Oryzias latipes: one gene and its partners. The protein of the gene in region 7 purifies or fractionates together with the protein of the main gene of each other region. This does not show direct contact. Links are inferred from orthologs where the notes say so. Each region holds a gene or a part of one and is shown on either strand. Other genes may lie near its edges. The genes, in order: ift88, ift172, ift20, ift74, ift46, traf3ip1 and ift57.

The links.
Region 1: the proteins of ift57 (region 7) and ift88 purify together in Homo sapiens (affinity purification with mass spectrometry; 3 studies listed by BioGRID and IntAct, counting the BioPlex papers as one, with this or other methods). This does not show direct contact. The link is inferred for Oryzias latipes from reciprocal best matches to the Homo sapiens genes IFT57 and IFT88.
Region 2: the proteins of ift57 (region 7) and ift172 purify together in Homo sapiens (affinity purification with mass spectrometry; 3 studies listed by BioGRID and IntAct, counting the BioPlex papers as one, with this or other methods). This does not show direct contact. The link is inferred for Oryzias latipes from reciprocal best matches to the Homo sapiens genes IFT57 and IFT172.
Region 3: the proteins of ift57 (region 7) and ift20 purify together in Homo sapiens (affinity purification with mass spectrometry; 3 studies listed by BioGRID and IntAct, counting the BioPlex papers as one, with this or other methods). This does not show direct contact. The link is inferred for Oryzias latipes from reciprocal best matches to the Homo sapiens genes IFT57 and IFT20.
Region 4: the proteins of ift57 (region 7) and ift74 purify together in Homo sapiens (affinity purification with mass spectrometry; 3 studies listed by BioGRID and IntAct, counting the BioPlex papers as one, with this or other methods). This does not show direct contact. The link is inferred for Oryzias latipes from reciprocal best matches to the Homo sapiens genes IFT57 and IFT74.
Region 5: the proteins of ift57 (region 7) and ift46 purify together in Homo sapiens (affinity purification with mass spectrometry; 3 studies listed by BioGRID and IntAct, counting the BioPlex papers as one, with this or other methods). This does not show direct contact. The link is inferred for Oryzias latipes from reciprocal best matches to the Homo sapiens genes IFT57 and IFT46.
Region 6: the proteins of ift57 (region 7) and traf3ip1 purify together in Homo sapiens (affinity purification with mass spectrometry; 3 studies listed by BioGRID and IntAct, counting the BioPlex papers as one, with this or other methods). This does not show direct contact. The link is inferred for Oryzias latipes from reciprocal best matches to the Homo sapiens genes IFT57 and TRAF3IP1.

The regions. Positions count from the first base shown.
Region 1 is NC_019879.2:11,385,552-11,389,051, reverse strand, and holds part of ift88 (intraflagellar transport protein 88 homolog), read left to right. Parts: intron 1-2,257; coding exon 2,258-2,344; intron 2,345-2,433; coding exon 2,434-2,620; intron 2,621-3,500. UniProt on the Homo sapiens protein: Positively regulates primary cilium biogenesis. Also involved in autophagy since it is required for trafficking of ATG16L and the expansion of the autophagic compartment.
Region 2 is NC_019882.2:1,041,181-1,045,159, forward strand, and holds the start of ift172 (intraflagellar transport protein 172 homolog), read right to left. Parts: upstream 2,801-3,979; 5' UTR 2,706-2,800; coding exon 2,667-2,705; intron 2,434-2,666; coding exon 2,290-2,433; intron 992-2,289; coding exon 879-991; intron 805-878; coding exon 765-804; intron 393-764; coding exon 327-392; intron 182-326; coding exon 102-181; intron 36-101; coding exon 1-35. UniProt on the Homo sapiens protein: Required for the maintenance and formation of cilia. Plays an indirect role in hedgehog (Hh) signaling, cilia being required for all activity of the hedgehog pathway.
Region 3 is NC_019871.2:17,867,075-17,871,327, reverse strand, and holds the start of ift20 (intraflagellar transport protein 20 homolog), read right to left. Parts: upstream 2,801-4,253; 5' UTR 2,668-2,800; intron 1,731-2,667; exon of another isoform or gene 1,617-1,730; intron 704-1,616; 5' UTR 696-703; coding exon 569-695; intron 501-568; coding exon 415-500; intron 1-414. UniProt on the Homo sapiens protein: Part of intraflagellar transport (IFT) particles involved in ciliary process assembly. May play a role in the trafficking of ciliary membrane proteins from the Golgi complex to the cilium.
Region 4 is NC_019878.2:5,915,709-5,919,208, forward strand, and holds part of ift74 (intraflagellar transport protein 74 homolog), read left to right. Parts: intron 1-1,035; exon of another isoform or gene 1,036-1,320; intron 1,321-1,446; coding exon of another isoform or gene 1,447-1,568; exon of another isoform or gene 1,569-1,969; intron 1,970-2,015; coding exon 2,016-2,154; intron 2,155-3,500. Other genes in the region: leucine-rich repeat-containing protein 19, read right to left, coding at 1,447-1,568. UniProt on the Homo sapiens protein: Component of the intraflagellar transport (IFT) complex B: together with IFT81, forms a tubulin-binding module that specifically mediates transport of tubulin within the cilium. Binds beta-tubulin via its basic region. Required for ciliogenesis.
Region 5 is NC_019876.2:246,288-249,154, forward strand, and holds the end of ift46 (intraflagellar transport protein 46 homolog), read right to left. Parts: intron 1,043-2,867; coding exon 689-1,042; 3' UTR 501-688; downstream 1-500. UniProt on the Homo sapiens protein: Forms part of a complex involved in intraflagellar transport (IFT), the bi-directional movement of particles required for the assembly, maintenance and functioning of primary cilia. May play a role in chondrocyte maturation and skeletogenesis.
Region 6 is NC_019879.2:26,415,032-26,418,531, forward strand, and holds part of traf3ip1 (TRAF3-interacting protein 1), read right to left. Parts: intron 3,239-3,500; coding exon 3,151-3,238; intron 2,982-3,150; coding exon 2,901-2,981; intron 2,492-2,900; coding exon 2,356-2,491; intron 2,276-2,355; coding exon 2,239-2,275; intron 2,148-2,238; coding exon 2,071-2,147; intron 1-2,070.
Region 7 is NC_019875.2:10,101,821-10,105,964, forward strand, and holds the start of ift57 (intraflagellar transport protein 57 homolog), read right to left. Parts: upstream 2,801-4,144; 5' UTR 2,424-2,800; coding exon 2,290-2,423; intron 1,877-2,289; coding exon 1,702-1,876; intron 1,590-1,701; coding exon 1,471-1,589; intron 777-1,470; coding exon 686-776; intron 558-685; coding exon 489-557; intron 1-488. UniProt on the Homo sapiens protein: Required for the formation of cilia. Plays an indirect role in sonic hedgehog signaling, cilia being required for all activity of the hedgehog pathway.

The DNA of each region.
Region 1 (3,500 bases), on a different chromosome or scaffold from region 7:
GACCGGAGTAGATCGCACTGTGTTCGTTATTTTAACCCTTTTTGATCTTTTTTTCTACTTTACAGTTTGCTCTATGAATTTATTGATATGTTTGTGATTATACTAAACAGAAATTTCACAATAAACCTGGTACTGTCCAAAACCTCAATGCCAAATGGTAAATTAGTGCATATTTTGCTGGAAAAAAAATCAAAAAAAAAAATCAAACAGTTTTTATCTTTAAAAACAAAAAATCAAACATGTAAAGGCAAAATAAAAATGTATAAATCCACAAGGAATGCAAAGAAAAGGTCAAAACAATGTGAAAAATCTATCAAATAAATGGCAAAATCCCACTGAACTACAGTACATACAACTTTCAATGATAAATTCCTAGTATCACATTTATGTGTCGTAACTCTTGTTATGCTTGTTGCAATACAAAAATTCCAAAGCTTCAATCTTTTTAAAACCTTAATGTTGAATTTTGAATTTCATTCTGAGTTTCCTTGCTGTGTTATTGTAAACAGTTGATGCGGTTGGCAAATTCACTAGTGAGTTGAGGGTCGGCTGAGGGTTGAGACAGTTGTTCTCTTTTTTCTTCTTCAAGTACTGTCATTTGATACAACCACAATTCATTTGTTTAATTTTTCATCACAAAACTGTTGATCAAAGCTCCTGAGTTTACATTTTCTCCTCCATGTCAGCTTCAAGTCTTTGTTTTGTTTTTTTCATTTCTTTCCCAACTGGATGAAAAAGAATGAGGGATGTCTGCCTTCTGCATTAATCATCTCCTTTAAGCTGTTGGGATTTATCACCTAGACAAGATGTAGTTTATTTATTTATTTATTTATATTTATATATTTATTTACAAAAGCTAAAGGATTTCTGCACACCATCCAGACTTCCAAAAAAAAAATGTATCTTTTCAATGATGGGCAGGGTTGCTCTACACCAAGGTCCTGCCCACAAATGTCTAATAAACTGCTGCTGCTCTACAAAAACTATGTTCCAGAATAGAGCACCATTTTATTTTTATTTTGGCTAAATAACCCCCAAATTAAAAGATCACTGGAAACGTTTTAAAATAGCTCAAACGATGATTGAAGTGGATCTTTAATGGTTCAGAATGAAATAGAGTCGTTGAAATTATCCGTTTAGTTTATTGTTTGCTGTTTTTGGCAATAATATTTACATAGATGCTCTGGTACTATCATAGATCATAACAGTGAGCAGAAAAATATGTGTCTTATATTACTTTTTGATAAAAAAAAGAAATGTAAAATTATTTTTACATTATAGGAAATATCCAACCATCCTGCAATGAAATATTGAATACCTGCTAAAGGGTAAAGGCCTGTTTTATGCAAAAATCCCTTTCGGGGTCACGGGGGTTGCCTGTCCCGGCTTCTGTTGGGCGAAGACGGGGTACAAACTGAACAGGTCGATAGTCTGGAGCAGGGCATGCAAGCACTCCCGTACACAATCACACATGTACACCTAGGGACACTTTAGCACTACCAATTAACCTGCATTGTGGGAGGAAGCCAGAGTGACAGAGTGCAGAAAACCCATAAATAAAGGCTTGAATAGGAATTCACAAGTAACTCATCAGTTTTTCCTTGATCCAAATCTTTTAGTAAAATGAGCAAACCTGGTTTTGAATGAGAAAAATGATCAAATAGAAGTTTAGTTGACTAATGACTCAGTGGGTTTGAATGGATTTGATTGAACCGTTTGGCTTATGGGCCTCAAAGGGTTCTAAAATTTGACACAAGGGCCAGAAGGCATGGAGTGATTTGGTCATCCACCTCATAGGAGAAAGAAAAAACATGGAGTTTGGATGAAAACATGCTTCAATTTTCAATTTTAAGGTTGTGAACATTTCAACTGTTGCTCTTTAAGAACCAAAAACATGTCTCCATTGTAGACTTTGTTTTTGAAGTGGATAAAATTGTTAGAAATGGAATTTCTGTTTTGAAAGAAATATCTTAAAAAATCTATTTTGACAGTAGGAACGTAATAAAATCTTATTTTTAATTTTTTTTTAAATGAAGTGTTTGTTAAATTTTTGCAAGTAAACTATAGAAGAGTTTTCTCTTCATATGCTGATGTGTTTAGAAGCTTTCATTCTTTTGGTGTTCTAGTTGTAGAAGATCTATCTAAAAGGGAAAATGCTCATACTTGGTTTATATTGTTAATCAAATTCATCTGGATGAGAAAAAAAGAAAAAAAACCCTGTTTCTGATCAACTGGTTGTTGTATGTTGTGTAATCAGGCAGTGGAAACACTGAAGACTTTTGAGAAAAAGGACAGCAGAGTGAAGAGCGTTGCAGCTACAAATCTCTCCTTCATCTATTTCCTGGTAAAAGTCTTTTTAAATATCAAAAGTGTTTTTTTATGTGGGGATCTAATCGTTTTCTCTGTTTCTGTAACCTGTTTGACCCCTTCCAGGAGAAAGATTACGACCAAGCTGATCGATACGCAGATCTTGCTATGAACGCTAACCGCTACAACCCTGCTGCTCTCGTCAATAAGGGAAATACAGTGTTTGTCAAGCAGGATTATGAAAAGGCTGCAGAGTTCTTCAAAGAAGCTCTGAAGAATGATTCCTCCTGCACTGAAGGCCTTTACAACCTGGGTAATACTGGAGCTCTTCATGGAGAACTAAAACAGTGACAATTCACTTCATTTCAATAATAACTAAGTGGACTTGTGTTGAAACAGTTTACAGCCTTTATTACCAAAAGACATAATGATGAGTACGGAAATATGGCACAGCAGTTTCTGTTTGTCATACATTGTTTGTGATACATATTTTTGATCACCCAGATTAGAGAAAGACTCCTGTCAGCCTAAACGTCTTTTCTTAACGCCTTAGTCGGGTAGATACAGGCTGTCTGCGAATGAAAAATGGCCAAACCTGTCCAGGACATGCAGGTGGCTCGCAGGAAGTTTTTCAGTCAGCCTGTACAGAGAAAACTTTCATGCACATTTTTTTTGCAACGGGCATGCTGCAGAGTGTCAGGTAGTAGAACATTTAAACAAAATGTAAGGGTAATATAGGTTGGACGCAAGCCTGATGTCCAGATCTTTAATTTTTTCAAGCTCACTAAAACCTGTGCACTGCACAAAGAGCCCATTAGTGCTGTTCATGTGATAAGTGTGCGCTCCTTCTGAGCAGTCTGTGTGTTAGGAATAAGGAAAGTAGACAATCAGAGCTTAGTGTGTGAGGACATCCTAAAGGGCATCTTAATGGCACTTATGTTTCTACTACATGGCTCTTGCAAGCTGGATTTTCACGCTCAGTAATGAGCCAGTTTGCATACCTTACTATTGACTAGAGTGTGATATAAGTGCACCACCGTACGACAGCATCATTCATATGTCATTAGTGTGGGCAACTGACATTGTCCTTAAGAGTACTTCACAATACACTTACCACACACACAGCAATGGTACATTCTACTTCCATGACGTCCCTTGTGACCCTGCACAGGCCTAGACAACCCAAAAACCCA
Region 2 (3,979 bases), on a different chromosome or scaffold from region 7:
CGTGATGCCCCGACAGGACGCCGCTACCGGAGACACTGATACACAGCGGAGATGACCGAGCTGAAGCCCCCGGGGGCCACGAGCGTGAGCGCGGCGCTTACCTGGAGGTCAGAGAGACCACGAAGGACTCCGTGTTGTAGATGGTGGAGGATTTGTTGGTGAGGGTGTCAGCAAGACGCACCTGAGGAAAAGAGCGTTTTACTCTGGAAATGTTTTATTTCCTAAACTGAAACTTCACGCCATCACTTCAAAGCTTCTTCATCGTAGTAAATAAATGTGTGTCTTCCACATGAGGATGGTTTGTTAAGGATGTTGTGGCGACCTACCCGCCCGTCAGCCAGCCCGTAAACGATGCTGTGCTCCTCGGGCCAAAGCAGGCAGGTCACGAAGGTCTGCGAATAAAGGCGGGACAGAGACTTCAGGGAGGAGACTCACCATGGCTGCACGGAACGGTCCTCGCCGCTGCTGCACTCGCCTGCTCTGTGTCCTGCTAAAAGAACCACCCAAAGCAGTTTTCCCAGCATGCAGTGGTCAACCCCTCCCCCATGTGACACCACCCACTAATGCAACACTACCATCCTGGACCAGATTCGATCACCTGCAATTTAACCAGAGAAACCAAAACTCTGTGGTTCTGATCAGCTTGGACCCTTACAGCCTCTGCCAGACTAAAGTGATGCACTCTTCCTCACTAAAGTTCTGCAAAGTGGATCAGAAGTGCAGCTTGAAGACGATTGGGTTCTGGTTTCAGCGTCTCTTCTTACCGTTTGAACAAACTTGTTGCAGATGGTCTTCTTGTCTCCCCTGTGAAAGACACAGACAGCCGTCACCACCAGACGAGCAGCAAACGACAGCAGGGCGGACACCGCGGCTCGTACCAATCCTCCCCGATCTTGTAGACGAAGATGATGTTGTCGGACTGGCCGATGGCGATTTTGGTGGAGTCTGGGGAGAACGCCATGGCTGTGACGGCGTAGCTGTCCTTCCCATACTGACAAAACGGGACATTTGAAAAGTTCACTGCAGGAACGCAAACTACACCAGCAGGTTATTATCAGGGCCGGCAGAAAGACCAGGAAAGCCCCCCAGTTAGAGGGGCTTCATAAACATGCAGGAATGATGGTGAGGAGGTTACATTCAGCTGTTTTCAGACCGGCCCCCTCCAGTCTGGTCCATGCTCACGGCGCTCCCAGTGCTCTTTTAATTATGATGATGCTGTTTTTAGCCAAAATCTACAAACCTGCAGAGCAGCAGGAGTTCATCAGAAATTCACCTCTGACTGCTGGCATGGAGCAACTCTGCCCCCACTTCCCATCATCTACCCGTTTACAGTCTGCCCTGCTAGCTTACAGCGCCTCAGACCCATCCGTGCAGTTCTGATCCAGATTCCAGATCAGACCAGGAAAACAAAGACGTTCATGGATCTATTTGTCTGACAGTGAATAAATCAGAATGGGGCGGAGCAGGGAGCTTGAGGCCCCGCCCATTGTTGCCTCTACATCACAAATACAATCTTTTTTAGAATACATTTTTTCATCTGATGCTGACTCACAAAAAGTGAAATAAAGAAATAGTCAGAAATACAGTTATGAGCCTAGATTAGGTATAAATGTTGTCCATCTTCAAAAAAATGCCACGTGAACAAAAAAAAAGAACTAAAAATTAAATTTTCCTCGGAGTGGGTCTTTAATTCTGAGTTATATATTTTTTCTAATTGTTTTATTAATTTTTTAAAATTATTTTGTCTTGTCTATTTAACTGCCTGGTGTAGTTTTGAAGTGTTGTTTTTAAATATTTTATCTTAATTTGCTACATTTTTTGTTTTCCTTCTAGCCCATTTTTACTGAAAAGGTAACTCGGAGCAACATCATATAAAGTCACAACAACGCCGAAGGTGTTATGGAATTAATTCAGCCTCAATAATTAGAACTGCACACAAACTGTTTTACAAACACACACGCTTTGATTCACAACCTATTGTGATTCTGAAACATTTATTGTGTTTTTGTGAAACAGCGTGCACATTCGTGAGAAACACCTATTGCGCATGTGTGAAACGTGTGTGAATCAGATGAAACGTGTGTGCATTTCTGAATATTGAGACGAATGAACTCCATATTGTTGTTAACTGCTGTATAAATAAAGATCGATTCAAATAAACTGTAGATAAAGGAGCAACACACTAGTCTCTCTGTGAACCCTAACAGTACAGACAGTGACGTCATGAATGACCTCACAGATTAACCGTTTTTTCGGGGGGGTTTCCCACGCCGGCGGGACGTGTCTCACCTTGGGGTCCACCGGTTTGGTGGAGAACTTGTCCCTCCTCTCCCCCTGCTCGTCGTACAGCAGCACCACCCTGTCGGGGGTGCACACGGCCACCTTGTTGTTGTTCGGAGCCCACGCCAAGCACGGCAGCTTCGCCACCTTTTCCTGCGAGATGCACAAAAAACAACTAGGGCTGCTCCGACAGACTGAGGGACCGGGCGAAGCTCGTCTCATCAGTTCAGACGTTTAAAAACGCTTAACCGAGACTTCAGAGAGCTAAACCAGCGCGAGGACTCAACATTTCTCGAGTCTAATTTACAACAACCCAAACGTCGAAATATGAGTCCTTACAGCAACCCAGCTCACCAAAGCGACCATAAAGACTGCCGAAAACTCACCTGCGGTGGTAAAAGCGTCTTAATGTGCTTCAAAATCATTTTTGTGTCTAAATGACGCTTGAAGAAACCTTTTCAATCCGTTAGCATCGAGGGAGCATGACGCCCGTCTCCTTGGTTACCGTTGGGGGGGGGCGGGGAATCCTGGTGCATTTGGGTCCGTTGGAAAAAATAAACATCTCCCAGCAGACTACCTGGAAATGGGATTTCCTTTTTTTCATAATGGTCAGTTTTTATTATTTATTTATACCAAAAGCAAAAGAAGTCGTAATTTAACGCAACATGAAATCTTAAGAATGTCAAACGGTTGCACGATACTGTTGCACCCGTGTTTAATGCTAAAACGAGGAACAAGAGCTAAAAGTGCCAAGAAAAAAACGGTGATATGGTAATCCGCGAGTAAAATAAAAAAGTATGATCTATCGCGGAGTTCAAAAGTGCAACAAGTACGAGAGCAACATGGATTTACCGTGTTAAAGAAAAAACGATCCATGGAGATGCCGGGGATTGAACCCGGGGCCTCATACATGCAAAGCATGCGCTCTACCACTGAGCTACATCCCCTTCCACGGACATGATTAAGAGAAATATAGATTTTAAATGGACACATGTGCGCAATGACCTGACAGGTGTACACTATACACGCCTTAACCGTGATGCCTTCTGTACCATTTAAACTCCTATGTGTTTATGACTGTCCATTTGCCAAGTAAAATTCCTGTTTCTGTTTCTTAACTAGGACATATTTGTGCCAGTTCACAAACTGTAAATTAAAGTCCTACATTTATGAGAAAAACGTAACCCAAACCCAAATTGAAAGGTACAGCAGTGGTGCATTGGGTTCATAATTTCTGATGGGCTGTACTAACAAAGACAGAGAAATCTGTTGACATCAGGCACTCTAAGACATAAAAAACTTGTTGACGGTCCCTTGGCAGCCAGCTCGCTGCATGTCTGCATTCACACCTCGAAGAGAACAATTCTTATCAAAAGGCAAAAAACATCTTCTTTCTTTTGAAATGCGTTTGTAGTTCACTCTCTGGGTTAATACAAAGGGATTGAGATACTTGCTGTCACATTTGAACGTTTATCAGAAGAGTTATTGAGGCCGGAAGTCCGAATCTGTGAAGATCTTTCTGACTTTACCGAACTGTTTGGTCGGTCTGCTCTGCGGCTGCGCGGCCTTCACTCGATGGACTGTAGACTCACTCCGACTTTAATCTTGTACATTTACGACGTTAAATCTTGAGAAAAGAGTAGAAAATTTACGATGACTTGGGGGGAAAGTCTTAAATTTACGACTTTAAATCTCGTAA
Region 3 (4,253 bases), on a different chromosome or scaffold from region 7:
CAATGAGGAGCAGTTTTTGTTTGATCGGGTTACTGAATGTTTGACATAAACTAAAAACAGTAAATCAAACGCAGCTCCAGCAGCTTTTCCACCACAACATGTCTGTCAGGAGGAAACTGGGCAGCTTACCAGAAGGTGTTGGAGTTCCTCCAATGTAAATAATGTTAAATAAAAGTTTGGGTCTATTTTACTCATTCCAATTGAATTGTTAAAACTGGTCCAAAAAATCTACAAAAAACAGTTTTTCTTTAATGTGAAGTAAATAGTTTTTTCCTGCTAAAATTGGTTACTTTTATTATAGAATAATTCAACTGGTTAAATCTATTACTTATAGGATTAAGTACTGGGTAACTATAACTGCCAACACTGATGAACTGTAGGTTTTGACCTAACCTGAGAAGAGGGGAGCCTCACCTTCATCTTTTCAGTCTCCGCCTCCTTGGCCAACCCGTCCACTGTGCTGATGAGACCGCCCACAATCTTCTGGAATTGTCCGATCTCTGCAGAGACACAGACCTATAGGAGCTTTGGGTGGGACGGGGTGGACAACAGATCCGTGGATTCTTACTGTCCACAAACTCTCTGCACTCCTCCTTCAGCTCCGCCGTGCTCTGGCTCACATCTGGCTCTAGAACCCGCAGCTTGTTTACCTCGTCAAAGTGGAAGCCAGCTTCAGCCAACGGATCTTTAGCCATGGAGTCTCCTGTGGGTCAAATATTGTGTTATTTCCAAAACTCCTCAAACACTCAGCACCAGTTTAACCACCTGACAGACGCAGGAGTTTGATCCACAATGATAAACACTCTTTATAAAGTCTAAAAAGAAAAAAAACATCTTTTAAAATGAAAAAATTATTATAAAGAGTTGTTTCACATATGGATGAATGTATGTAGGCTAGATTTGACTTTATCCTTTTGGATGTAACGGACACTGAAGGACTTGGGACTGATGCTTACCGTTTCTTCCATTCACCATAATACTTTACTGACCGTACCAGAGTTACCAAACATGCTGATACAGTCCAGTGATGTCTAGCGTCAGCCACAAGTCCAGTTATGGACTGTTAACAACCAGCAGGAGTTTAGAAAGATACAATTACTGCCTTACAGGACAAAGATTGAGAAGTAATTTGAAAGCTTTGCATTTTGGCTTGTCTATTTCTTTAACACAACAGATAAATTCCGCAACTGCATTACTTTAGTCCAGTCCAGTAGGACAAAATAATATAATTTACCATAGTATTATGTACTTGGAAGCTTATGAACAGACCTTCAGTCAGTGTTAAAAGTTTTCAGAAACAAATGGAGGAATGAAGATGTCTGTCCAACATTCCGAAACCGCATAAACAGATGTTTATTTAAATTCAAAACTCTAAAATTGCGCTTAAAAGCTTTTACAAAAATAACGTTTTAGCAAATAAAAATAACACACAAATTACACCCATTCCAATTTGCTTCCACACGCCTCTTCACCTCTGAGCTATGTATTTAAAGTCCTCCACCTTCTTCTCCTCTGCTCCCTGTAACCTCACCGTTCCTCTTTAGTTCCTCTCATTTACACATTCAGTCTTTCTGGAGCTAACCTTCATTCCTCTCCTTTCCTGAACAAACCTTTACCTCTCTAAAGTGTTCCTCCTTCTGCTCCCTGCGCTCACTACAGATCCACAGGTCATCTGCAGACATCACGCTCCACAGAGATTCCTGTCAGTCCTTCTGTCAGTCTGTCTAGCACTACAGCAAACAAAAAGGATTAAAGCTGATCCTTGGTGCAGTCCAACCTCCATCCCCCCTGAACAGATGAGTTCAGGATGGATTAATCTGATTAATAATAATAATAACAATAATAATGAAGTGTTTGTGGCAGTTTGCGTAATTGTGTGGCTCTGTTATACCCTCTCTACATCCAAAAAGCGTCAGAAACAAAATATACATTGTTTAGTTTTTGAGCTGGGCTAGACTTTTAAACATTAAAATTAGTGAAATGCTGCCTCCAGCGGTCTTTCATAGCACTGCAGTGTTGGGTACTTCCTGGTTTCGGGGGGGGGGGGGGGGGGTAGTGTTACTGTACAAATTGTTTTCATCTTTATTGTGAATCTTAGTCCATTTAGCACCAATTCAATGAATGAAGATTATTTATTTTAATTTCTACATTTACACCTAAACAACCCCCCTTCATGTTTTTAACCACGTTAAATGATTATCGCGCCGTTCAAAGCTGTAATCCATGCCACAAGAATTGTTTTGGTGACTAATCTGCACACATTGTTTGTGTATTTTAGATAATAAAGTTTTCTTTAAAAAAAAATCTATGGGTGACGTCACAAGCATCGATTTTCTACACTACAGTAAGAAAATACGTCAAAAATAAATGAATAAATAAGCAACAAACTCAGACTAGATCTGAGTAAACAAGAACGTTGAGTTTTTCTGTCCCGGCGACCTCAAAAAATGCCTCTAAACTTGGAGCTCCACAGTCTCAGACTTTGGCAGAAGTGTTTGTACACGTTGTATGAACCTCTCAACCATCTTTTTTTCCCCTCTTCGATTTTTTGCGGCTAACAGCTAACGAGCTAATACGTAGGAGATGACAAATTAACAGCTGTTAGCCTCCGTTAACCATTCGTAAAGAATAGTAAACTAAACTTTGGTTGTGGAAACGGACACTCACCTTAATAAACCCCTGACGTTACTCTGCACGGCTCCGGTCCTCCTCATAAGGGGTCCTACTAAGACGTTCCGCCTCTTCCTCCTCCTGCTACCAAGGCAACCGCACAAAGCGCCACTACGCGTGCGCACTAGCTTACCGCCGACCTCTGGTGGTACACATTCTCGAGAAGTCTTTTTCACGTGTTTCTGATATTATCGTTCATTTAAAAACAAGAATCAATTTACAGTCAGTTTTAAAGCCACCATGTGCGCGTGCAATCATCAGGTTCATCCTCATAGTTAAACCAGGTTAGGCTAAACACCCCAGTAGGTAGACCCACCCAGCGGTAGAAGTTTAGACAAGTCTGGTTCCTTTCGCAAGTTCAAACGTCATGACTGGATGAAGAGATAAGCTCAAAGAACCAACTAGTTCTTTATGAATTGAGATGATAAGACATTTTTTAAAAGACATTTTCGTTCACTCATAAGAACACTTTAAAATGTACAGACATGGATGATGTGGCTTCACTGAAACTTCAAGTGGAAATGAGCAGCAGCTATCTAGACCAGCTGGAGGCGCCAGAGGGGAGCCCATCTGCCTGAGATACATTGTTACAGTGATCCAACGGGGATGTAATGAAAGCATGGAATACTGTTTTATGTTTTTTTTTGGAAAAAATGCACAACTGACATCTCTCTTTTCCCCTTCTTGACCAATTGCAAATTTGTCACATGCAAGATATGACACAAAATCAATACAAGTGTAACATACAAAGAGGATGCACACATGCTTTCATCAGTAGTACATACCTTAAAATCGTAGATTTTTATCAAGGTGTTTATGGGCTGTGTTAAATTTAAAACTAATACAAACACTAAAGAAAAAATATATCCCATTCAGAGTATGTTTTCCTGCATAAAAAACTTTCTTAAGCAGGAAAAAACTAGAAAATCAGATCAACAACTATCAGTATCATTTAAACGCTTTATTAAAGAACACTGTCCCAAAAGTCCCCTTTTTGCAGCATTACTCAGATATTACACCTTTCCGTCAAAACCTTTCATCCTGTATCTGTTCATCCCCTAGTTCTTCTCTGAGACTTCCACTGCAGGAGATAGAAAAAAAAATTATGCATTTGTTAATTAGGCCTTTCATGGAAAACATGGAGGAGTTTTATGGCTGGGGGGGGGGGGGGGGAATCGGAGAACTACTGAGTGCTGCTGGAGTTGTTAATAGCTACAAACATGCTCAGCTGAGGCGGATTGTGAAGCTGGCTCAGGTTCATGTCAATGTAGTTGGAGGCTTCTCAGATAGATCAGGAAGCTTTCATCCTGATATGTCTTGTAGCTGCTGCTCACTGTTAGATTTTTTGTTTTTATTGTTATTACTGCTCTGCACTGGATTATCTCATGGTGTGGATTGGTGGACGATTTACCTGGTTTGTTCTTACCTGGACTTTATTGGCACTGTTGCCTAAAAGCTGAAGTACCCAGCCTCTAAACTCCTCCAGGTACATAATCACCCACATGGACTTCCACTACCTTCACTAAACCTCCACCCAGATATAGCTCTCCGTCTCTGTATAGGAGGGATGGCTCAGTTGCCTG
Region 4 (3,500 bases), on a different chromosome or scaffold from region 7:
CGCGGAACTCCGGCCGTCCTCCGGACCTGCCTCGCCGGACGGCGCGGAACCCCGGCCGTCCTCCTGACTCCTTGGACTCTTATGCCCGTCGAGGTTTGACCTCCGGGGCCCCCCCCTCAGTTGACTTTGGGAACCTCGGAGCGGTTCCTTGAGGGGGGGGTACTGTCATGGTTTGAGTTTCTTTTGTATTGGTTTTTGCTTTCTGTCTTGTTCTGTCATGGTTAAGTTCTGTTTCCTGTTTTATTTTGAAAGGTTTCCTGTCTTGTCTTGTGTCGTGAGTTTTACTTCCTTTGGTCCCCATCTGCCCTGATTGTGTTCACCTGTGTCTTGTCTGCCCTGTCTGTATATAAGTTCTGTCTCTACCTTCCTCCTGTGCTGGTCCATTAACTTCTGGTCGTGTGTTTAACGTCTTCATGTGTCTTCGTCCTGTTCATGCCATGTTTCATGCCACGCCACAGTGAGTTTTGCTTTGTCATCCTGCTCTGCAGCGCTTTTTGTTCTAATTAAACCCCTTGCCCTTGACCCCGTTTGCCTCCCGTCTCTGAGCTTGGGTCCTACCGGCTCTCGAGCCACCCCTGCACATGACAGTTTTAGCTCATTAGTTAGCCAGTTCCAAGTCCTTAATGGCAAGTCAAACTGGGGGTTTGAATGACAAATCATGATGCTCCAATTAGTCTTAGCTTCTTGATTAAGAAGTGAATAACTAGCTGCCAGAATGTACCAGAATGCATCTAAGACCATGTATTTTACAAAAATTTCGCTCCGCGCCCGCCATATCGCTCAAAGAAAAGTTCAGGGATTTTTTCCTTGCCCGGCTTTCATCACTGTAGATACTAACCTAATATATTGTCACCGCGGCAAGTGTGTGTGTTGGGGAGCAAACATTTTCTTTTTCCTAGAGGGGGCCTTGCAAAAAATAATTGAGAAGCACTGAATTATAGAGTCATTTCGCTCCGGTGAGCACCATGTCAGCTGAGAAAAGCCTCCTATGGAGGGCAAACTGTTCCAACACAGTCCATATTGCAGAGTCCCCACCTGTCCTGCTGAGGGGCAAGGTTCTCTGGCAGCCTTGTGGATGAACCTTTTCCTTTCAGGGGAGCATCTTAAAGCACATGCAGACGCTCCCATGCAGGGTTGAGTACATTCAGAGATTTTGATCTCCCAGACACACACATCCAGTCAGCTGACCTTTAAAATTATCAAAAGTCAACAAATGTGTGTGTGCTGATAGATCTTGAGCTGTCACAGGCAGTCACAGACACTAAAGGTAAATCAATTTGCTTTTGCCAAAGATGTTGAAATATAAATTTATCAGAAGGCTTCAGTTTATTTCAAAATCATCAACTGAGCTACTCCAGAACATCCACACAGTCAACCGGTTTATTCTGCTAAAAAGAAAAAAGGAGCTGGATCTTCTCTAAAATGAGAATAAAAGAAGACACTTACCTCCACTCTCTGAGGTGAACCCCTTTCACCTGTTGCTCAAAAGCAGCCAGCACAGCAGTGACCTTTGTTCCTTGTATAAGATTCCACCGACTGCTCCTGCTAGCTAACCATTTATGATCCATCAACGCCGTTCCTCACTTTCCTTCTTATTCAGCTTATTTAGCTGTTGAGCTTTTAGTTTAAAAAAAACTTAAATATATTAAAAGGAGTCATTGTGTTTATTTATATAAGGATCCCTGAGTTTCAGACAAACCAAATGCCGGAAAAGCTGTAAAAGACTGAAGAGGTGAGAAGGAGGAAATGTCCACGAGGAACAAGAAGTAGAAAGTATACCTTTGCACTTTATGGCAGTGCTACACGTACTCTGATAGGGCTGCTTGCGACATGAAATACATGAAATGTGTTCTGTGTCAGTATACAAGCAAGAAGTTATAAAACCTGCCTTATCTGAACACTTTGATGAAAAAATTAAATCCTATCATTCTCTCATCCATGTTTCGAATTTGAATGTTTCATATCCGCCTGCTTCTTTACATGTAGCTCAAAAGCACTGTTCTCCACCGCTGTAGGAGAGAGGAGCAGATCAAGGCCATTGAGGAGGAGATCAAGAAGGAGCGACAGATCGCAGACAGAGTCGTTCAGTCAATGCCCACTGCCAAACAAGAGAAGTACTTCAGTATGGCGGCGACCAATGAGCAGCTGCTGCAGGTACAACTGTCATTTTGATGACAAAGGGGTGTGGCCTGCATCTGTCTCATGTGCACATATAGAGGAATGGCACAAATCCACATTTGGACTTCATTTTTCTTCTGCCTTTGTGTGGAAATTTCACCCTATGGCTTCCACAGAAAATTGCGTTTTTTAACAAGTTCTTGTGGCATTTTTCTTATTATGGATGATACATAGAACAGAATTTAAGATTATTTAGAGTATTTCTTCATTCAAATAGTTGTGAATCAAGAGCACACAAGAAGTGCCTTTCGAAAAAGATCTCTTTTGTGACAGCCGCTGAAATGCACTCTAAAAAGAAAAAAGTTGATCCAATTTAATTGAATTACTTCAATTGGTAACACCAGAGCCAGTTTAGCTCGTGCTGGTTTGCGGCGCCTTCCATCCGTGAAACCCGGGTTCGACTCCGGGCTGCTCCCTGTTCCCTTCTCTACCTCTGCCGGTTCCAAGCCCGGTTTGAGAAGGTTGCGTCAGGAAGGGCATCCGGCGTAAAACATTGCCAAATTTACCATGCGACTTGTTCGCTGTGGCGACCCCTGATGGGAGAAGCTGAAAGTGGAAGAAGACTTCAATTGGTAACACCTAATTGAATTAAGTTTATTCAACTTAAGTTTTTATGTCTATCCAACTCAATGTTATTACATTGAGTTGGATAGACATTTAAGTTCATTTAAGTTAAACTTAAATGAATCATTTCAATTGGTAACACGTAATTGAATTAAGTTTATTCAACTTAATTTTTATGGCTATCCAATTCAATTTGATAAATTGATCTAACTTAAATTTAAAAAAAATTAAATTTTGTTTATACAATTAAAATTGACAGATTTTTCTTAAGTTTCAACCAATGGTCCTTGTAATTTTCATATCAAAGACAAGCATGCCCCAGCGATGTCTCGCATTACAAGGCAGGAAATCATGTGTAAAGATATCTGTCTTTAATATTGGGACATACAGTGTTTTACCGCACAAGGGGGTTGGTCATCATCCTCTACCAAACTCTAACTCATGGTATAGAAATAAATAAACATAACAGTTTAAATTACTAGTTCAAACAGCGTAAAACAGCTAGACAACAAAACCCATGGACAAAAACTCACACTTAAACCCCAATCTGCCCAGACAGGCAAAAAAAATGGTATCCCACAATTGCTCGCACTGCCTTTCGTTATGACGTCATGACTTGATAGCTTCACGCCAAAGTTACACCAACTTAATTTAATTAAGTTGATCGTGTTATTTTTAAGTTAAATGAACTATTAAAAATATTTATTTTCACCAAACTAAATAATTAAGTTACATCTACGTAAAAAAGTTTATCTTTC
Region 5 (2,867 bases), on a different chromosome or scaffold from region 7:
CCACCCTACCGCTGCACCACGGCCGCCCAAGATCACAAATCATTGAAGAAAAAAGGTTCAGAGCACTGTCTAGTGGGTCTAGATGACCCAACTCCCAATGGTAAAGTGCCCAGGATAGAACAAGGGTTACATATATAACTTATCCAACTTAAATTAATTCAACTTGCACCTACCCAACTAACCTTCAACTAAGCCTGCTCCGGATGTGTTATGTTCAGAGCATGAGTTGCTATGGCAACTTGACATACCCTGAAACATACCTCCATTTCTGGAACCGAAAACTGAAGTTATCAACTTCCTTAGCCTCAAATTTACCGTGGGAGCTAGCATAACCTGCTTTCTGGAATAACCCCCTGCTCTGCAGAAACTATGTCCTAGAAAACGACAGGCTGAAAACGTCATCATCACTTAAAGACCACAAGGAATGCTGGGAAAACAGACCAGAAGAGGATCAGAGTGGGATTTGAACGGACAAACCAGAACAATCAGAGTCTGAGGACGACAGTTAAGCATTCAGTTTATTCAGGAGCAGAAGCAGCAGAAGATCAGAACTAAGACCAGGTTCTGGAAAAACTGGGCTCCTGTCAGAACCCGGTAACAGGTACCAGAGCTCACAGGTGGGGCTTTCCTGGAGACCCCCTCCATGGGTAGTGAGGGAGGAGGACATGGATGGGGTGGCCCCGCCCCCTCACCCCCTGCTGGTGAAGTGCAGAGAGTCCCTGAACTCCAGGTAGAGGCTGAACAGCAGGTGCAGGGACTGGATCCTGCCGCTGTACACGGGGATGTCCAGCAGGCCGCACGCCACGTCCACGTACTCCCCCAGGCTGCAGGACAGGTGGGCGGGGGGCGGCTGCAGGCGGCCCAGCTGCTCCTCCATCTCGGGGGGCCACTCCTGCATCAGGCTGTCGATGTCGGGCATTGGGTGGCTGTAGTGCACGCTGGCGGGGGGCTTGGAGCGGTGCAGGGCGCTGATGCTGTCCACCCAGCTGTCCACGGCCCGCGGGTTGGTGTGGGGGCTGGACACGCTCGCCACCTTCTGCATCTGAGGGGGAGGGGTCAGAGGTCAGGACCAGAACAGACCGGGTCACCCTCCAGAACACGACTCAAGACAACTCACAGTCGTGTGTGTGTCTACAGGTGTGTGTCTGCATGTGTGTGTCTACAGGTGTGTGTTTGCAGGTGTGTGTGTGTGTGTCTACAGGTGTGTGTTTGCAGGTGTGTGTGTGTGTGTCTACAGGTGTGGGTCTGCAGGTGTGTGTCTACAGGTGTGTGTGTGTCTACTGATGTGTGTCTGCATGTGTGTGTCTACAGGTGTGGGTCTGCAGGTGTGGGTCTACAGGTGTGGGTCTGCAGGTGTGTGTCTACAGGTGTGGGTCTGCAGGTGTGTGTCTACAGGTGTGGGTCTGCAGGTGTGGGTCTGCAGGTGTGTGTCTGCAGGAGTGTGTCTGCAGGTGTGTGTGTGTGTCTGCAGGAGTGTGTCTGCAGGTGTGTGTCTACAGGTGTGTGTCTGCAGGTGTGTGTGTGTGTCTGCAGGAGTGTGTCTGCAGGTGTGGGTCTGCAGGTGTGTGTCTGCAGGAGTGTGTCTGCAGGTGTGTGTGTGTGTCTGCAGGAGTGTGTCTGCAGGTGTGTGTCTACAGGTGTGTGTGTGTCTACTGATGTGTGTCTGCATGTGTGTGTCTACAGGTGTGGGTCTGCAGGTGTGGGTCTACAGGTGTGGGTCTGCAGGTGTGTGTCTACAGGTGTGGGTCTGCAGGTGTGTGTCTGCAGGTGTGTGTCTGCATGTGTGTGTCTGCAGGTGTGTGTGTGTCTGCAGGTGTGTGTCTGCATGTGTGTGTCTGCATGTGTGTGTCTGCAGGAGTGTGTCTGCAGGTGTGTGTGTGTCTACAGGTGTGTGTGTGTCTACTGGTGTGTGTCTGCAGGTGTGTGTGTGTCTACAGGTGTGTGTGTGTCTACTGGTGTGTGTCTGCAGGTGTGTGTGTGTGTCTACAGGTGTGTGTGTGTCTGCAGGTGTGTGTCTGCATGTGTGTGTCTGCATGTGTGTGTCTACAGGTGTGTGTCTACAGATGTGTGTGTCTACAGGTGTGTGTGTCTACAGGTGTGTCTTCAGGTGTGTGTGTCTACAGGTGTGTGTGTGTCTACAGGTGTGTGTCTGCATGTGTGTGTCTACAGGTGTGTGTCTACAGGTGTGTGTCTACAGGTGTGTGTGTCTACAGGTGTGTGTCTACAGGTGTGTGTGTGTCTACAGGTGTGTGTCTACAGGTGTGTGTCAACAGGTGTGTGTGTCTACAGGTGTGTGTGTGTCTACAGGTGTGTGTCTACAGGTGTGTGTGTGTCTACAGGTGTGTGTCTACAAGTGTGTGTCTGCATGTGTTTGTCTACAGGTGTGTGTCTGCAGGTGTGTGTCTGCAGGTGTGTGTCTACAGGTGTGTGTGTGTCTACACGTGTGTGTGTCTACAGGTGTGTGTGTCTACAGGTGTGTGTGTGTCTACAGGTGTGTGTCTGCAGGTGTGTGTCTACAGGTGTGTGTGTGTCTACACAGGTGTGTGTGTGTCTACAGGTGTGTGTGTCTGCAGGTGTGTGTCTGCAGGTTTGTGTCTACAGGTGTGTGTGTGTCTACACAGGTGTGTGTGTGTCTACACAGGTGTGTGTGTGTCTACATGTGTGTGTCTGCAGGTGTGTGTCTGCAGGTGTGTGTCTACAGGTGTGTGTATGTCTGCAGGTGTGCGTCTGCAGGTGTGTGTGTCTACAGGTGTGTGTGTGTCTACAGGTGTGTCTTCAGGTGTGTGTGTGTCTACAGGTGTGTGTGTGTCTACAGGTGTGTGTCTGCATGTGTGTGTCTACAGGTGTGTGTCTACAGGTGTGTGTGT
Region 6 (3,500 bases), on a different chromosome or scaffold from region 7:
ATTTCCTGTGTGGTTCTTCTCTTATAATGGGTCCAAGTTACAATTCTATATATTTCCTCCTGGAAATTTTCGCGAAACCAGCAGGAACTGTAGTCCTGAAAAAATATTTGTAACAGAGGGGAAAAAATGTCCTTTCCTGTATAGTCCTCACAGAGAAAAAAGGATGAATACAAAGAAACTTTGTTCCCAAGATGTCAAATACTTTTTCACAAAACAGGAAAGTCTCTAACGAGAATATAAATGAAGAAAATAAATAGGCATACCTCAAAGTTGAGCAACCCAAGGAAACAAGCTCCTTTTGCTCCAGACATCTAGATGTGTGTATCAATTGTGTGTGGTTTGTTAGGGGCCATGCTAACCTGTCTGGTTATAAGCAATTCAGCTTCACTGGAGGAGAACATTTCTGAGGTTTCAGGGAACTGCAATTACACCTCTTTACTCTGTTTGTTTACCTTTTTTTTCATTTTTTTTTTAAGTAAATGCCAATGTTGCACTTGGTTGGAAAGGGTTCATTGCAGTGGCGGTTCTACCCTGAATTACTCCCCGGGCGAGGCCCTCCTCTAGCGCCCCCCCCCCATAGAGTCACTTTGTCCATTTATTGTAACTGAAAATACAGTTAGGAAATATTTAATAAACACAAACAATCTGAAATAAATATTATAAACTACAAATCACACTAATAATACACTAGAATAAATGTAACTGCAGCACTAAGAACAGAAAACACTAACTAAAACCTAACCTTTGTGGCCTTCCTGATGCAAGCTTGTCAATAACGTCATCAAATGAAATCTGCTCCCCCCCCTGAATGATTGATACTAACAACAGCAGGTTAGTGAGTTGCTCCTGAGACATTGGTGATCTCAGGTATGACTTGATCAACTGGAGTTTTGAAAAGCTAACAGCAGCAGCAGCAGCAGCAGCAGCAGCAGCATGCTACCATCACAGCTTATTTAACATTATGAACTAATATACAACAATAAAACACAACAAAAACTTTGTGTTACAGCAGAGCAGACAGACACACGAATCATAACTAATGTTACAAGTTAAGGCAGAGCAAACATTTAAGAATAAATATCTTAAAAATGACGTTATTTGCAATATTTGGGCCTACTTCAGTTTTGGTCATGATAGACCAAACAAGAGATTTTTCCTCTGCAACGTTGTTGTTGTTGTAGGGCAGGTAGCATTCGAATTTAGAAAACGTGCATCTAGCTATGCGATAATACCCTTTTCTTTGTCTCTTTTCTCCTCTTCTTCTCTTTTCTTTCTAAATTGGGCACCAGCTTTGACCTTTTTTCTCCATATTTCAGATGTTTTTGCATTTAGCCTAAATGTCCTGACATAGGTATCAAGTCTGTCGACTAAACCAACTGTCATCTAAGTGAAGAATTTTTTTTTTGTTTCCCCATTTTTTATTTGAAATAACCAAAAAAGCATGATTTTTTTATACTTTTTTTATACCCGCAGCCCCCCCCCCTCCCGTTCGTCAAACATTTCCAGCAGGAGCGCGTGCAGCTGCACCCAGGGGCGCCAATTCGCTACATGGCGGCGCAATTTTTATTTTTATTTTTTCATGAAGCACTGAGCCGCGGCCCGCGACCGTTGCCCCCCTGGAAGAAGATCCAGCCAGGTTTGCGCATGCGTTTTGTGCTCCGTGCTCACCTCAGCCTGCACCCTTCACCCCGCGCCCCCTCCCTTCTCCTTCTTCACCCCGCGCCCCCTCCCTTCTCCTTCTCACACACATTTGCGTCTACTTCTCAAAGACAGCAGGGAGCGCAGCTGCGGGGCGGGGGCGCCGCCAGGTTTCAGGCTGTTACAAACTCTGTGATATAAGTAAACCAATAGTGATGCATAAAGTATTTTACAAGAGCTGAGCCGCTGGCGCCGCCCCTCCGTCATTTTTCCGCCCCGGGCGATCGCCCGTATGGCCCGTGCCTAAAACCGCTACTGGTTCATTGGAAGCAAAGTTCACAGAGAGAAAAGCTCAAACAAATGACAAAACTTAAAGAACTAGAACCCGTACTGCCCTCTAGTGGAGACAGAAAGACTACACCGTCCACAAACCTGTTCTTTAGATCTGAGGGAGGAATGGGGCAGTTCGTGGTTCTTCTTGACCTCAAGGATTTTTTTCACCAGGCCCCCTGGGGAGACAGAAACAGAAACATTCAATTTCTGAGGTAAACGTGGCACGCTGTGCTTTGAAAGGAGAAGCAGAAACGTCTGACGGTGTACCGTGCTCCTCCTCACTGTCCAGTTCTCGAGCGGGTTCCTGTGAACGGGAAATAAAAAATAAAGAAATAAGAATCCAAACAGTCTCCCTATGTTCAAACTGACATGTGAGGCACCTACTCGATCGCTCTCAGGAACGCTGAGGGGTGGAGGGGGTGCCTCCTCCACGAGGAATTGCTCGTCATCCTCCTCCTCATCGTCTGACATCTTCTTCCCGTCCATGATGACAGGTGCTCTGGGCTTGGCACTTGACAGCCTTCAAAACAGGAGCTTCGCTTATTTACAAGCGCATTTTAGACAGTGTTTTCTGAACCTGCTTCTAATTTATTTGGTTGATTACTTTTCAGTAGGACAAACACTAAGAATCGGGCGGCCGTGGTGCAGCGGTGGGGCGGTCGACCCATAATGAAATTGCAGGTTCGATTCCCGCCTTGCACGCCCATGAGAGACACTGAACCCCACCTTGACTCTGGTGGGAGGTTGGCGCCAGTGTTCGGCAGCAGAGCCGCCACCAGTGTGTGAATGTGTGTGTGTGAATGTGTGTGTCTGAGTGAATGTGACTGTAAAGCGCTTTGGGCCTTGAAATGCGCTATATAAGTATACGCCATTTAAGAATAAACGTGAAAACCGTGAGTACTGGATGCCACGAGTGACGTCAGGTTTACCTCTCTGATGGGGGGGCGTCAGCATGACTCTCTTGTCTCCTGACACGAAACCGTGCACTGCCCGGTCGGGCCATCAGCCTACTGATTTACCATAAAAATACATAATTACAAAGGGAAAAATAAAACAGAAAATAAGCAAATATGTACTCTGGGAGTTTCTTTCAAACAAATCAAAGTTTGGGTTGTGAGATGTTTACATGTGTCCCTTGAGTGATGGCAGGTCAAAGTGTAATGTATGAAGTGAACAGACCTGTTGTTGATGTCAGATGACATGGAGGATCCCACAGTGTTCCCATTTTCCTGAGGATGTGAACTTTGGGCAAAACGTGGATCTTCATCTGTCAGTAGAACATGTGGAGCGTTAGTCAGATTATAATGCTAGATCTCCACAGATCCTGTGTTAGCAAAAGGGACTTTAGGATCACTTAATGTACTGCAAAGTCCTAGACTCTCTATAAATGATAGAAACTTCAGATATACCCAAATCTCTTCTTTGTAAACCTGCAGAGATTGAACTTACATTAAAGGAGTAAAATCTAGATACAGCTTTTCAACAAAGGAGTGGATACGTAAAGCGCATTCCAAGGTTCTGCAGTGGTT
Region 7 (4,144 bases):
ACCAAAGGACGTCAGAGTGGTAGGACCGAATCGATCAAAGTCATCATTTCTATGGCAACCACTCTCGCCAATCAGGAGTGAGCTTGTGGAAGTCCACACCCCTAGCACTTTAAAGCCGGCTCGGGAGAATCTGTCAAACGTTTTGAACGTTCAATGTCAGGACACATGCTTTTATTGAGGCACCTGATTGGTCGGTTTATAACTTGAATAAATTGAATCATAGAAGAAATATCAGAGGGAAAAAATTTGGATTATGAAGAACATATTAAAAAGGTATCAGAGCAATAATGGTCATCCTGACACATAGAATGACTGAGTAAGAGTTGTTTATTTATCGATGGAAGTCTTTGGCTTCTTGGAGCCAGCGGGTCCTTCCTATTAGGAACGCGAGGGGGGGGGGGGGGGGGGGCGGAGTCACTCAGTCCAGCTCTCATCTACAGTCAATGGGAGTGCTCTCTCTTGTCTGTATAAAGACAAGTTTTTCTCACATTGTGGAAGTTCCGCAACTTCAGAGACTCCAGATCCATCGCAATTTCCTCCTCATCCTCATCTTCCTCCTGAAGTCACAATTAGAAAACAATCTTTTAAAAAATCAAATACAAGAATGAAAAACAAAAAGGACACCAGTTTTTGCAAAAGCGGCGTTGAAATAAGCTGTCAGCATTTTTCTCTGTGAAGTGCTGACCAATATTTCCTCCTCTGCTGTGCTGAGTGTGACTTCTGCATCGTCCTCCAGCATCGACTCTTCCTCCGGGGTTTCTGACGGGTAATCTGGCCTAAAGGGGAGGAGGGAGAAGAACACTTCATCTCAAACTGGAGCAGCCAGTGAGGCCTCGCTGTTGTCAAATCTGTAAAGTCCCACCACAGTGATCTATCTGATGTACTGTAAAAGTGTCCCCCAGTGTTTTTTTAATTATGATGGTGCAGATTTTAGCCAAAATTAAAAAAAAAAAAGTGTCCTTTACTAGGATATCGTTTCTGCAGAGCAGCAACAGTTCATTAGAAATACACCTTTAAGTTGTGGGGGGGACTATTGGGGCAGAGAAAGCCTGTCCTCATTTCCCATCATCCCTTTGTTTTACACTCTCTTCCACTAGCTTACAGTCCCTCACATCCCCAACCTAACATCACCGGTACAACAAAATATGGGGAGCCATATTGCAGCTTCAGGAAGGTCATTTTATGCTTTACTTTCTTCATATAGGTCTTCTATAATGAGAAAAATGCCACAAAACATTAAAAACACCACAAACACAATTTTAATCGGAGATCTTTAAGGTGTGGCGGCCTGAACTTAACCAAACTGACTTCTGACCACAACCGGTATTGTTGGGACCCAAGAAGAAAGACACTCCAACCTTGCAGCTGTAAAACTGCTTCATTCATTCCAGTCTTGAACTGGCTCCAGTACCAGCCTAGAACCCGTGTCTGGCCCAAAAGATGTCCCAGCGTAAAGCAGAGCAGAAGCACCTTTTGAAGGAGAAGTTTCTCCTCTTCAAAGCCTCGTCGGCCAGTCGGTCCAACACCAAGCAGACGTGCTCGCCTGAGCCCGTCTTCAATTTGGAGGGAGGGAAGTCCACCTTTACGCCCTGAAACCCACCAGGGTCACAGTCAGAGGTCGTCCTCACACATCTGAGATCAGAGTCTAAGTCACACAGAAAGGGACATATTGGATCATCTGCATGTGAAACAGCAGCTCACAAAGGCTCTCAGCTCCGCCAGGATGTTGGACACGGTGGCGTTGGGCTCGTCGTGCTCCCGGGGTTCGGTGAACGGCCTCCCTGCCACGTTGATGAGCCAGGCAGCGATGATGGTGAACATGTAAAACTGCTCACCCGGATTGGAGGACAGGTGGGAGTTGGAGACAAAGTAGTGCCTGGGAAGAGAAGGAAGAAGATACATGAATCACAAGATCAGATCATGTTTGAAATGAAACACATTTAGGAAGACAACTTCAATAATAAGCAGTCTGGAAAGATGTATTACACTTTAGGCATTTATTTGTAGACTTACTGCTATTTTCTTAAGTGTATTTAAAATTGATTTAAAATTGTATAAAAATAAAGATTTAGTGCTCGGGAAAAGTACAAAATGTGATCAAAGCTGTTTTCAACTTTTGTCTTTGTTTTTTTCATTTAACACAATCGACGGTCCAGCTCAGGTTCTGTTCTATTAGCTCTGTTCCGGCAGATATCATCACTGCTTCTTATCGTGTTCTGCTTCAAAACGTCGTCTTCAGGGAGCTGAAATTCAGCTTAAACCCGTCATTTGGCTCGTTTCGTTCCTGACCTGCACACTTTCTTCATGTTGTGTTTGTCCAGAAGCTCCTCGTAGTTCAGAGCGTCGAGCTTTTCTAACAGTCCCTCCATCACCGACACCATCCGGTGAGCGGCTCCCGGGCCCCGCTCATCCTCCTCTGCCATGAGCCCAGCTACTTTTCAAACCGCTTTAAAATCCACTAAAAAAATAAATGTTTTCTGGGGCCTTGTTTGTTCGATTAGCACACGCTGCTCTGCTAGCTCAGGTTGACTGTAGGCCCGTTGCCTAGCAACCGAAAGCTAAGTAGCCCTTTTCTTAACACGTATTTCTTTTTCCTCCCTTTAAACTTTAAATATGCGCATTGAGAATTTGCTCAACAGCAACAAAACAACATTCAAACTGTCTGGAAAACAGAATGGGTGTGACCAAGTTCGAGGGCTCCGTCCTTAGCATAAGAAACTTGGTAGATTTGTTTGCTAACTTGAGTTTGATCTCTTCTTCTGCTAGAATATAGAGTCAAACATCGCCCCCTAGAGGGCGGGAGAGGGACCTGAATATTGGGACTGGGATTTTGTTCTTAAAATGAAAATATCCTTTTTGCATTTACTGAGGCATTTGTACACAAATACACCATGCAAGAAATTCTACTGTTATTTTGATTGTACTATCTTAATCTCAGATTAAAAAAGAAGGTAATTTATGTCCAACAGTGCATGGAGCCATCTAAAAGGCTTAAAGTTAAAGTGCATCATCTTTCTGTTATTCTAAAGTGAAAGGAGCAAAATGAAAATACAAATGTTTAACAACCTGCTGATAGTGGGGAAAAAAAATTCCAAAAAAACCCGTTAAAACTACTTCATTTTTTTTAGGTATGTAGAAGGAACTTAAAATGTAAGGTATTTTGAAACTGAAGGGTCAGCTGTAAATTTACAAGGACATTGGAATTAAGATATTTTCAGATTAAATTGATTTTTTCTTTAATGTTTTATGATGCTGCTCAGGCATTATTATTAAATACGTTTTTTGGGTTTTTTTTTTGCCAACAGGGTGTCTGTGTTTTTCTTTCCTTATAATTTTGACCAATACTGTCATAATTTTGGGTACATATTTTTTGGACAAACTTTTTTATTTTCACATTTATTTTGAAGATTTCTTTTAGAAAAAGGTTGACGGGGTGCATAATCATTACAGTATAACACCCATCATTGTGCTTGTTTCTTTTTTAATACACTTATTGACAAAAAGAAAAAAGGTACGAAAGCAAAATTAAATGGAATTCTTTTTTTTAAAGGAAGCAAAATCTCTACATATAGATAAAAGATAATAAACAGATAATGTCACCTTTAAACTTTGATTAAATTCCTTTACAATTAAATGCATATGGTTTTTTTTTTTTTGGGGGGGGGGGGGGGGGTGTTTCGTTTTTGCACAGAACCTCATAATCTAATTAAATTCCAAAACAATTCCCCAAAAAAGTTTTTCCTATAATGGATTGTGGGTGTTTGTCAGTTTGCCAATAAGTTTGTAAGGAGTTCAAACCTTTAACTTCGGTGTTTTTAAGTAGAAACACATTTGTTCATCATACAGCGTTTAACTTGCAGAACTTTATTGACACAGTAAGATGAGTAACACTTGTCACGGAGAGCGTCTCTGCGTCAGGCTGAAGAGGCCCGACGTCCTTTCAGTGAGACGTTTCTCAAATGGAAAAGTCTCTTCATGTCTTTCCTCCTTTTAAAAACATCTTCTGCATCTGGAGACAAAATGTAGGAAATAATCCTCTGAAGAGGTACAAACAGTAATAGCTTTAGTGTTCACGCGTGACAGAACACGCGAGCGAACGCAGGAGTGGAGGAGGCGTCCTGCCGCTGCTCCCACTTCCATCTGC